Linked DNA regions of Drosophila melanogaster. The protein of the gene in region 1 interacts with the protein of each later gene in a biochemical or structural test. Each region holds a gene or a part of one and is shown in the gene's direction. Other genes may lie near its edges.

Region 1 (3,756 bases):
GTAGAGCGAATAATCGTACATTGAAAGAGTGGTGTAATTCGTGAAACATGTTTAAAATGCAAAATCTGTCTGATTCAACAACTATTATCATGTATGCTTTATTCATAGGAACTAATTTGGTTCCTGCATATGACAACACTCAATAGCCGACTAGATACAAATTTGACGGGGCAAACATTTGTTCAGTTAAGCTACTAAGCCCATATAATAGCCCTATAATGAACTCTCGACATGTTCGTGTTCCGGGCAAATGTTTTTAAGTAATTCTTTTAGTTATATTTTATGAAAAACAATTAGCTGCGGGCCTTTAAATACAACTGCATAAAACAAAACAAAGGCGCAAATATATGTAAAAATCGTTTTAATTTGCCAATGATTGTGTGTGTGTGGCCGTGGGTGGTTCAATTATTTAACTACATAAACAATAAAAATATTCGCAATTGTGTATGTGGGCGGGGCCGCATTAAAAAGTGAATGTGTCTACTGCATATATGCAGCCATTGTTTTACAAGCTTTTGTGGGGCTTTTTCGGCATGGGGGCTGGTATTGGATGGAAATTGGGCTGGGGCTGAGGTTGGAATTGGGTTTCGGGCTGGCACTGGGGTGGTTCCAGATCCAAAACTGTCACTGCCAGCACTACGTAAGTAATTTCGCGCATATGTTACGCCCAGGGGGCGGAGTGGGAGCCGTGGGACCATCATCAGGTTCGGCTTAAAGCCGGAGTTCAGCATATTCATGGCTGCTGCACACGACAAATTGAATTTTATGCAAAAGCTTTAGTTTTTTCTACGATTTTTCCTCTTCTCGAAACCGAACTCCACCCTTCAAAGTCGCGAATGTCTTTGCAGTTCGCGGCGACATCTATGTCCTGTTCGTCTGCATTATAATTTGGTCCTTTGTTTTCCTTCCAGCCCGCAATATCCTCGGTTATCCCAGTGCTTTGCACTTTGCCATGGTATATCCGTCCAAGATGCGGTTTTCTCTGGCTGCTGCTGCTGTCCCACTTTCGTTCGTATCCGCTTTGTTTTTGCCCCTCTTTTTTGGCCAGCACTTATTTTTAGCATTGTACAGGCGCCTTTGGTTCGACGTTAATGAGGAATTATGTTATCGCACTGTTAAGCCGCCATAAACGGTGCTATGATTGCATCCTTTCCCTCCCACTTACCCTTTGCCACGAAATTGACTAGGCTTACGGGATAATTTAGGTCTCACTCAAGGTTTATGCATTCACAGACTACAATTTACATAAAATCCAAATGAGTAATTTGCCTAACTGCTCAATGCATAAAACATGCCATAACAATGGAGCAGTTTACCCGTGTAATTGCATTTGTTTCGTTGACAGATTTTGAAGAGTTAACATAACATGTTGGCAGGCATTTGTGCTGCTGTGAAAGTGAACTCTCACTAACAGCATCAGCTTAATTTCTCTTCCGCTGTTAGCGCATATTGCGTATACGCCACGGAGCCAAACTCTTCGGCTCACTTCGGGCCCGATTGACTTGGCCTGTTAAGGTGTCGTCAGTTGGCTTAGTTTACTTTTAGCCGGTGCCAAGCGTGGTCGCTTCTCGCTTCACAGCCGCCGAACGCAGATTAAACATCCTCCACGGAGAGCCCCAAATGGTTAATATTGAAAGAGGATCTTGCCAAAAAATATACAGTGATCGAACCTGTGTCGTAAACAAAATACGCATTAAGTGATTTTAATCAAATTGAAGCCTAAAGATAAATTAAAACGAAAACAAGCGATAAGTACGGAAATCAAAACAGTTTTGTGAACTTTAACTAAAGAAGGTCTAAACAAATTATAAGAATTTTTAAAAATAAACCAAATTATCATATTTTGGTCATATAATCACAGAGATCGAGACTAAGGGTTATAATTCTAATTAAAGGAAACATTAAAAAATAATAAAATCAGCAATGAAATTGAAAAATTAAAATACATTTGTTTTTCCGATCTACTATGACTGAAAGAATAAATCTGTACAATCCGTTGAACTAAATTGCTGTTACAAAACAGTTGAAGAAGACCTACCACAAAAACTGTTTTAAGATAACCCCATAAACAATAACGAATTAATGACCCAGTTGCGAAGCTGAACGGCAATCAAAATAAACTAAATTACAAGAGATGGGAATTTCCCGCTTTCCACTCCGTCGAGCATGGGCCAAAAGTCTGAGTGTTTGAACAGCAGATGGCTCCGGCCAAAAGTAAGACGAAGACCGAGACGGACAACAGTCAAAAGTCGAGGATGCGGAATGCGAATAGAAATAGGAATTGTGTTAAATCATTTACACTTCCGCTGCTGTTTTGTTTGTGCAATCAATTTGATATTATTTGTGTTATCCAAGCTCTGGCTCAAGGTCCAACCCAACTCGTTCCCATCGTTATCCTTATGGAGGGAATACGGCCCAGTCGTCCGGAACATTACATTTGTTTAACATTTGAGTTAACGCTTCATTGGGCCACCTACTCCTCCGCCATTACTTATGTATGCCTGGCATTTCTCAAACTCCGACTGCCACTCGTAGTCCGACTTCAGGCCCATCTGTTGGCAAAGACAAAACAGCATTTAAATCATTATTCTTGGCCAGACTCAGCCAACCAGCCAGCCAGCCAGCCAGTCAGCCCGACCTACCTACACCTACACCTTGGCTAGCCATCGAGAATCCTTTCAATTCATCCTGCGCGTGTCCTGCATCCGTAAGTGGACTCGGTGGGCGTGTTCGCCCGCCCGGACGCGATGGCCATATGTACTCCTTTTACGCCCCACTAAACACCCGCATAAATAAATTTCGTTAATGCCAAATAGTCTGGGGCGTAAAAGAAAGAAAGATGAGGTAACACAAGCAGCCGCAGTAGCTGGGAAACCGAGCAAACGACGGCAACTGAGCTTGGTCAAATGGAATGCCCCAGCTCAGGCTTACACAACATGTGTTCGGATTCCGAAAACCAAATTCGCCAGGATATCGCTGAAAACTGCCATGGTTACTTTTTCATGATACCCAGATGGGTCAACTCTTGTAAAGATTAGATTTTATGAGTTCCACTCAAAGGTTTCAAGCATATTTATAAAGTAACTTTTTGGTTTTATTTAGAAATTATTTTTCATGGATTATATTTAAATTTTCTCAGCTTTCCTCTCTATATGTAAAAATCATTTATTTATGTATTTTATGCCACACGGCGAACAGATTTGAGTCAGATTTGCAAATGCTAGGATGAAATGGGAACACCTCGTTAGGGCAACTAATGCCAAGAGCACCCACATTACCCAAGCCATCCGAAAACTTACACAAACATATCAAAAACAGGACGCGGCGCAAAATGCCGGCCATAAACTGGGACACGGGCCAGAGGAATCAGGGAAAGCATAAGAGCCGGTGGGGCCATAGTTGCCAGAGAATATGGGAATACAAGACCTAAAATGTAGGATGAGACCCAGCTCGACGGGCACATTGTGGGAATATTTAAAATTGGCCACGTGTTGTGTTGTCTTGCCTCGCTCAGCTTCCCCTACGACATTTTCAGCTTTTAGTTATTTTAGATTTCCCCGACAAGCTTACCGTGCAAGTGCAATTTGAAAATATGTTAAACCTGCGATTTTGTGCGCCGAGAAAACGCCAGCAACGCGAAGCACAAGAAGATATTGCTGCAGTTCGTGTCAAGGCGTATACGCGATATTAACAAGAGCAACAGCAGCAGCATCCAACAAGAGCGGATTTGGACTCGGAATCCCCGCCGAGGCAGGG
Region 2 (3,756 bases), about 17 Mb from region 1:
CCGCCTAGATTTGTCCTGCAAAAGTTAATTGAATATCAAGCTAAAAGCGGCTGAAGAAGATCAGGAAAATCAGTGAAAACCCAGCTGAATGCGATGAGATTATTAAACGTCCCATCCGCTTTTCCCTCTTTGCAGTAACGAAGAGCTAACGACATAAACATCAACCGGCAGCCAATTAATGACAGCGAGCTACAGCGTTTATCGTTTCACTTACAAGCCAATACAGCGGAAAAACCCCTACATTTTCCACCCATACCATCGCCCTGTTAGCCACCTGTGAGTGTGGCCCAAAGGGCAGACAATGAAAATCAACTAAGCAATTGGCAACTAAACGAGACACCAGGATCCAGCTCTCCAAGCCGCTGCAGCAACAAAATGGGCCAAGAAAGCGCAGCTGGCTACTGTTTCCAATTAGTTGGCCATGACTGTGGCAAAAGTGTTGGGAAAACGGAGAGGGTGAGAGGAGTGCCGAGGCACACATGCACTGGCTGCAAAATGAAAATGAGAAACTGAAGAAAACAGAGAAATGGAAACTGAATTATTGCTCAGGACGAAACAGAAGTGGGGGGAAAATAAGGGGCCACGGCGCTTGACTCTAACATAAATGTAATGCTTTTATTAGTTATCGATACCAACACATACATACCCCTGGGTGTAAGCTAGTACACTGAGCAAAATGTCCAAGTTTTTACAAAATACAATTTTTTTTATAGGAATAATGATGAACGCTATTATTAAAAGAATATTTTCAAATAAAATGAATGTAATATTTAAACTGAAATACCTTGCATATGAGATAATAAATGAAATGCCTTTTTTAGTAAAAAATTTTAAATAAAGGTTTTCATATAAATTTGTATACTTTTACATTGTTTTTTCAAAGTTCCTTCATGTGTAAGAGCAAGAAAGATATGAAAAGAGTATAAGCGTGTCCCGCGAGGGGTGGTGATCTAAGGGGGCGGGATTGCGACTCCGGGGAAGACAGCGCTGGTATCCGGCGCCAAAGATTTACCAAACATCCGCTGGAAAATACCCCACTACGATTGCGACTGTGACTCCGGCAGCTGTTGTTGTTAGCCAAGTTCGTTGTTGGCAAACGCGATTGCAGCAAATCAGAAAATACTCGCACAAGTGCGAATGTGAATATTGATGCCACGGCGTAGGTATGTTTGACTTATAATATATGTATAGACATACATATGTGTGTGTGTATGGAGCTGAATGTGTGTTTAGTTGGCATTGCAAAACACAAACACAAAACTTCCATTCTGGTCGTGCTCCGCGAGTCGACTTTAGCCAGCCACTTGGCGCTACTTCGCCCACTTCAGCGCCACTCCACCCACTCAGCGCGCCCATCCACACACACACACAGAGGCACACCCACACACACACACACACACACACCCAGACATGGCCACAGAGCGCTCCTTGCTCGCTTACTTGCTACTTCCGCTTCCGAATCCGTTTTGTGTGCTGTCGCCGCAGAAATTTAACGAAGTCACACGTCGCCAATGCCAGTTCCTCTCGCTCTCTCGCCAAAAAAGCTCTGCGAGCCAGCATCCGAAGCATCCGCGTCATCGTGCCGCTCGTCGGCATCCTTCGTGCGTCCAGCCGTTTCGGCTCCAGATGGCAGCATCCTTTTTCATGCTGGCTCAGTTGCGAATTCAGTTTCGGAGCGTTCGGTGGTGGAGAGCAGCTGCATTTGTGCATTTCGCATCGAACATTCATCGTGATCCCAAGCGCACGAAGTTGTTGTTTTGTTTTGGTTTTTGTCGCCAAATTTCGCGGGATTTTTTCGTGAACGTGTGTGTGCGCGTGCATTTATTTCGCACACTGTCGACGGGGCAATACCAGGATCTGTCGCCTGTCTTCGCCTCAGACTTCTCCTCCGGATCCTGCGGAGCGGAGCGTACGTATTTGTGGCTTCAACTCCGTGTGTCGTATGTGCCCGTGTATGCCTCTGTGTGTCTGTGTGTGTGGCGTACCGGCATACCGTCTTTGTTGTTGGCCACCATTGTAATTGCAGTCAGTGTGGCACTGGCAACGCGGCGTATACTTGACATCTTCGCCGCCAAATTGTGCGATTTCTTCGACTCGTTCAGCTCTCGCGCTGGCTCCTTGAATGCGGCTCCTTGTGACATTGGCGTGAAGACGTGAAGAGCCCTCAAAATCCGCTATTCCACTGTGTTCGCAATCCATTTGCCTGCTGCCCTGGACGGGCAAACAAATTTTTGCAATTCAATTTCTATTGTGCATTGCCGATGCGAAATGTGCGCATCGTTTGCTGTCAATGCCAAGTATTCCGCATAAAAATTGAAAATTGCATGCAAATTAAATAAATAGAGTTCCGGTGAGGAGCTGAGCTGAGCTGCGAGTACCAGCTGAGATAGACACTCAAGAACCCATCCTATTCTACATACTCATCGCACATACGTACATATGCGAGTATCCTTGCGAAAATGACAGTTGTGAGTTGTGGCTCAGATTTGGATTCGCATGCGGGGCGCAATCAAAGCAAACGTCATTAGCACTCGCGACATCGCCTTCGATTGACAGCGGGAGTTGGAGCAGCGGCAGGAGCAGAAGGAGGTGCCAGATCCTGCGGCAGGATTCAGCAGCCAGGAGCAGGCACGAACAACTTTACATTTGCATAACTTCGGTGCAGCTCCAGCGTTCAGATTCCGATTCACAGGTACGAGAAAAACTCCTTACCAAAGTCGATTTCCGTTTCAGCAACCCCTTCAGACCGCCCGCCCGCACCGCATCGCTTTGCAACTTTGCTATCATTTCTATTTTCCTGTTTCTGTTTTTCATACCCGATATCTGTATCCCCACCAACATTTTGCGCCCAGCGCCCAGAAAGGGTAAAATCGGAGAATATTCAGCTCGTGCCATGGAGTTGGGCTGTGGCAAATCCATTGTGGTGCACTCCCGAGGTGGCTTGGATTCGCGAGCTCAGGGCCGTGGATTTACCTTTTGGGTGGTCCTGGGAGGTTCTGGCTGGTCCTGATGGCGATTAAGGAACAAACTCAGTTCGCTTAGCAGCATTTAAGCCCTCTCAGTTTTTTAGGTCAGCTCAGTCGCTCTTGATTTAATGATCCAATAAGGAGCTTCTAGGATGTTCAAATTGAAACCTGTTGGAGTGAATCAAGTTTATCCGGGGCAGCAATTAGAATGATATCCTAATGTCATTTCGAATGGTCGGGAAATGCTTTTAACATTTTTTTAAGCAATTGCAAAATGTAATATTCATAAGGTACTTGGAGTACTAATTAAGTACCAATTAATTGAAAATTGCAAAATAAAAATGGCACCAATGTTTAAATCCAACTATATCTTATAACAATTTTAGTTAGGCAAAAGAAGTTTGCTTTAAAAATTAAAATTTAACGATATTTTAAGACCTGAAGACAAGAACTTTCGCACAGCTGAAAAACTCAGTTTAATGACACTGCCAAATAAAACTACTAGTCATTTCCAGAAAGTCTTGTTAGCATTTGATGTAAATTGCAAGGAATAGTTTTAATTCTTGACCCGATTTCGGAAAAAATCGTTGGTTGCTTTACTAGTTTGGTAACTCTGTAGTAGTAGTATTTTTTCAATAATTTTCTATAATTTATTTTACACACTATCACTAAAATGAGGGCACCTGCGCGTCCAGAGCTCGTGACAATAGCATCTCCGATTTGTTTTAGCTTTGCCAGCTCTGCTCTTTGGTTTAGTATCAACTTTACGGCTGTTTCAGCTCCGGATTTC
Region 3 (3,756 bases), on another chromosome or scaffold:
AGATGAGGCTTACACCATCAATCCTGTTCACTCCGTTTAACTCCAAGGACCTAAAAAGTCGAATCAAGTTATACCTCAAAGAAAGGAAACTCTCCGAATGGGCACTCTTCATGCACAGGTACCAGTCTATCAATCCGAATTGCATCATGTTCAAGCCACCAACGAACGTACATAAACGGGAATGCGCGACCTTTATCCGTCTACGCATCGGGCACACCCAATCCACACATCAACACTTACTGACGAGATCGGCGCGACCAACATGCCAACTATGCGGGGACGAGCTCACCGTTGACCATATTCTCAACGCCTGCAGTCAATTGCACTCAATTAGATCTCACTTATTTGGTACACATAGTCTCTCGAATTGTTTAAGTATCCCATCCTGTGAAAATATCTCAAAAATTTACAAATTTGTCCAAAAAGCTAAGTTTATTATATAAAGCAATTAACCCATAAGTCTCGAGTCGAAGGCCCCCGTAGCTAGTACTCATTAAATTTAATTAGGTTTAGTATTGTATACTATATTTAATTTTGTTAAATAAATAAATAAAATAAGATGATGTGCTCAAAACAAGTTTTGTTACCTAACCTAGCTAAGAAACAATGCAATCTGGAGTCGTTGACAAGTATGTATGTAACAGAAGCAGAAGGAAGTGTATAAAAACTAGTGACTAGTCTTACAAGTTATCTTCAAACGTTATAGTTACAGTTGTCGTTAATGTCTAGCTAAAATGTTCCTATTTTTTCAACAACAAAAACTGCCTTAATCGAACTATTGCAACCTATGTAAAGTAAATTAAGTAAAAGTTAAGTCTATTGAGACTTCTGCTTGCTTCCACCTTTCCATCTCCCTTGCACAGTCCTTAGGTGATTAATAAATATCCGATAGTCGCATTCATTAAAATCTTTTTTTGGAAATTTAATTAATATGTTTTAAAAAGTGATCAAGCAAAATAAAGATATATTTTCTAACGTTCGATTTATTTTCAATATGCTTTCGTCTTTCTTTGACTTTTCCTAATTTTTTGCACAAGGTAAGGCTTAAAATATCGTCAAAAGTCGGCTGATATAAATTCTATATGTATTCCAAAACAGCTAACAATGTTATATCCCATTTGAAAAATGATGAAAGCGAACAACCGAAAAACTAGCTCTTGGTAAAACATACAGCCTTTTATATTTCAGCAATTGGTTTCTGTATAACTTTAACTCGTTTTTCTTTTCTTTTAGAATGTTTTTCAACCAATAATAATCAACTGGGCAAAACTAACCACTTATGCAGATCTCTGCGTTTTAAGTTAAGGCAATTGCTCTAGTAAATTTACCAGCTTCTAAATGTTGCTGGCAACATGTTGCCAGAGGACAAGCACTGACGCCTTCGTCCGCCACACGAGCTCGTCCTTCGGAAGCATTTCGGCTGGCCTCGGGATGGCAGGCACGGGACACGGGACTCCACAGTGCCAGGACATCGGAAGTCGGGAAATTGGGAAATCGGGATGGCCGTGCTGCCGAAGGACGAGCACATTGCGCTGGGTCGGCCCAATGCGAAACGCGCTTGGTGCGACAGGTTCAGTGCTCGGGCAACTTCCTAGCGCGTCGGTTCAGTTCAGTCCAGTGGATTCGAGACACGAAAGGACTCAGTTTCAAACTAAAAATTCCAAAGTTTCGAAAACGGGTTTCGAGTGGCGCGAAACAACAACGATACAATGATACAATTACTCTAGCTGAAAGTCGAGAGAAGAGTTTTTGACAAGTGTTAGTTGATTATTTTCAAGTTTTTTTTTAGTGTTGGCCAGTGCTTTGGACTAGTTTCGAAGCTTTGCTTGTTTTTTCGAACAAGGTAATTCTAAGACCCAAAAATTCAAAAGTTTTTCGCGAAGCATACGATGTGAGCTGTGACTGCGTATTTAGAAATTACTACACTAGTGAGGTGAAGCCAATCCCTCGTTTAGTCCTTTACTCCATTGCCCGTCGATCGCTGCCTAAATCATTTCACATACGCTTGTTCACTCATTTGTCAATTGCATTATCGGTGGTATGTTAGCATTCCCTTTCTTTTCTCAGCCTTTCAACCAATTGTTACACCAATCGAGTTGTTTTCTTGCGAATTCTCTCGACTGTTCATGAGTGAATTCCTTTTCAGTTCATTGAATTTCTATGTCCTTTCCGTTTTCTAACATTAACTTTCTTTGTTTGCATTTATGTGAGTCACTCGTCACTCGTTGGAATCCTTTATTCTCGTTTCTTGTTTTCAGTAAATAAAACAGTTGATTTGCCAAGTTGCAAATTAACTTTTGCCAGTTTTTTTTCCCAAAAACAACTATCTTTATACCTTCGTGTGGGGAAAATGTAGTCACCTTTTATGGTCAAAATCATATCGTACATTTTGTCGCATACTAACGATTTGATAAATTGTTTAACATAATTATAAAACTGTCAGCTTGTGTTCTTTTCGTTTTTAATTGTTTGTAATTATATATTTTATATAATATGATAGCATACATTACACATTGCAAAAATTAAGTAAGGTTTTCAATATCTTTTTTAGTGGTTTGTAAGACGATCCGAATTCAATTTTATTTTAAATCCGGTATCCATGTATTGCTTTGAACCCTTTTTGTGTTTCTGATTTCCTTCAAGAACTTTCACCCACCTGAACTTTAAAACCCCATTCAATCTCTCGCTCATCCCTCGCCATCCGCCACCAGTTTGGCACATTCTTGAGGTACCTTTTCTGGAAGACTCCTCCGAAACTTTTTGCCATCGAACAAAAGGCGCCAAAATGAGACTGCAGCATCCAACTAGCAGGCCAAGTTTTTAGTTGGCAATGATTTATGTTTTATTAATATTAAAAGTGATTTATTAGCCATGAAATTTGTGAGCCAACTTGGTCGTTGGCCCTTATTCGACCAGGTGAAGGGAGTGCTGGCTGCATGCGCGATTTTTTAATTACAGATGGAGTGGGACAGGGAGTACTGTCCAGCTGCAGGCTCCATTATCCTTAAGCGCGGACCTGGCCGCTCATTATCCCGACGTCCGAACTTAAGCTAAACTGCTGCACAGCGAGATTAAAATTGTAAATGACAGCCAGCGTGACAGGACAAGGAAGGAGCAGGCATCTGCTCGTCCTTTAATGTCCTGCGCCGTCCAGCCACGCCCCTCTGCGCCCCTCTGCGACCCTGTTCGCAACCATCCGCTCCCCACCCACCAGCCGTCGCATTTTGTCGTGTTTTTAATGAAAATTAATTAATTAAATAACGTTTTTACTCATTCGCATCGCCTTGCCCAGCAATTGTCTTCCCTTGTGCGCAGGTGTGCGTGTGAGGATGCATTTTATATTAAATAATGAAGTGTGTAAAATGTATGCAGTGGCACACAAAAAGAGCAAAGAGGCAAATGAAAGGGCTTTATGCGGCAAATGTAAATTTGGACCTTTTTGGGCACAGGAAATCTCAAGCTTCAAAGTGCACAGAGAAAATTGTAAACGCAATTTTCCAAAATCTTTATTAATGGTTTTTTTTTGGGAAACTTTACTTTGGGAACGTAATTAATTTTATTATTGGTCTCGAATAATCAAAATTTATGTGCAACATTTTGTCATTATATTTGGGAACCCTTTTTGCAAAATGTATACAATGCATACTTCCGAAATACCTAATTTTTTTTGTTTGCCTGTCGAGAAATTCCCCGAAACTTCCCAAAGCCATTGCCAAATTTTGGCATCTCGGTCAACACAAAAAAAGTCATGCACTT

Evidence for each region.
Region 2: the proteins of dpr15 (region 1) and DIP-gamma form a complex in vitro, tested with the Drosophila melanogaster proteins (one study listed by BioGRID).
Region 3: the proteins of dpr15 (region 1) and DIP-beta form a complex in vitro, tested with the Drosophila melanogaster proteins (one study listed by BioGRID).

The regions. Positions count from the first base shown.
Region 1 is NT_033777.3:12,156,401-12,160,156, reverse strand, and holds the start of dpr15 (defective proboscis extension response 15), read left to right. Parts: upstream 1-1,561; 5' UTR 1,562-1,623; intron 1,624-3,535; 5' UTR 3,536-3,756.
Region 2 is NT_033777.3:28,968,267-28,972,022, reverse strand, and holds the start of DIP-gamma (Dpr-interacting protein gamma), read left to right. Parts: upstream 1-1,650; 5' UTR 1,651-2,692; intron 2,693-3,756.
Region 3 is NC_004354.4:21,455,553-21,459,308, reverse strand, and holds the start of DIP-beta (Dpr-interacting protein beta), read left to right. Parts: upstream 1-1,570; 5' UTR 1,571-1,758; exon of another isoform or gene 1,759-1,843; intron 1,844-3,756.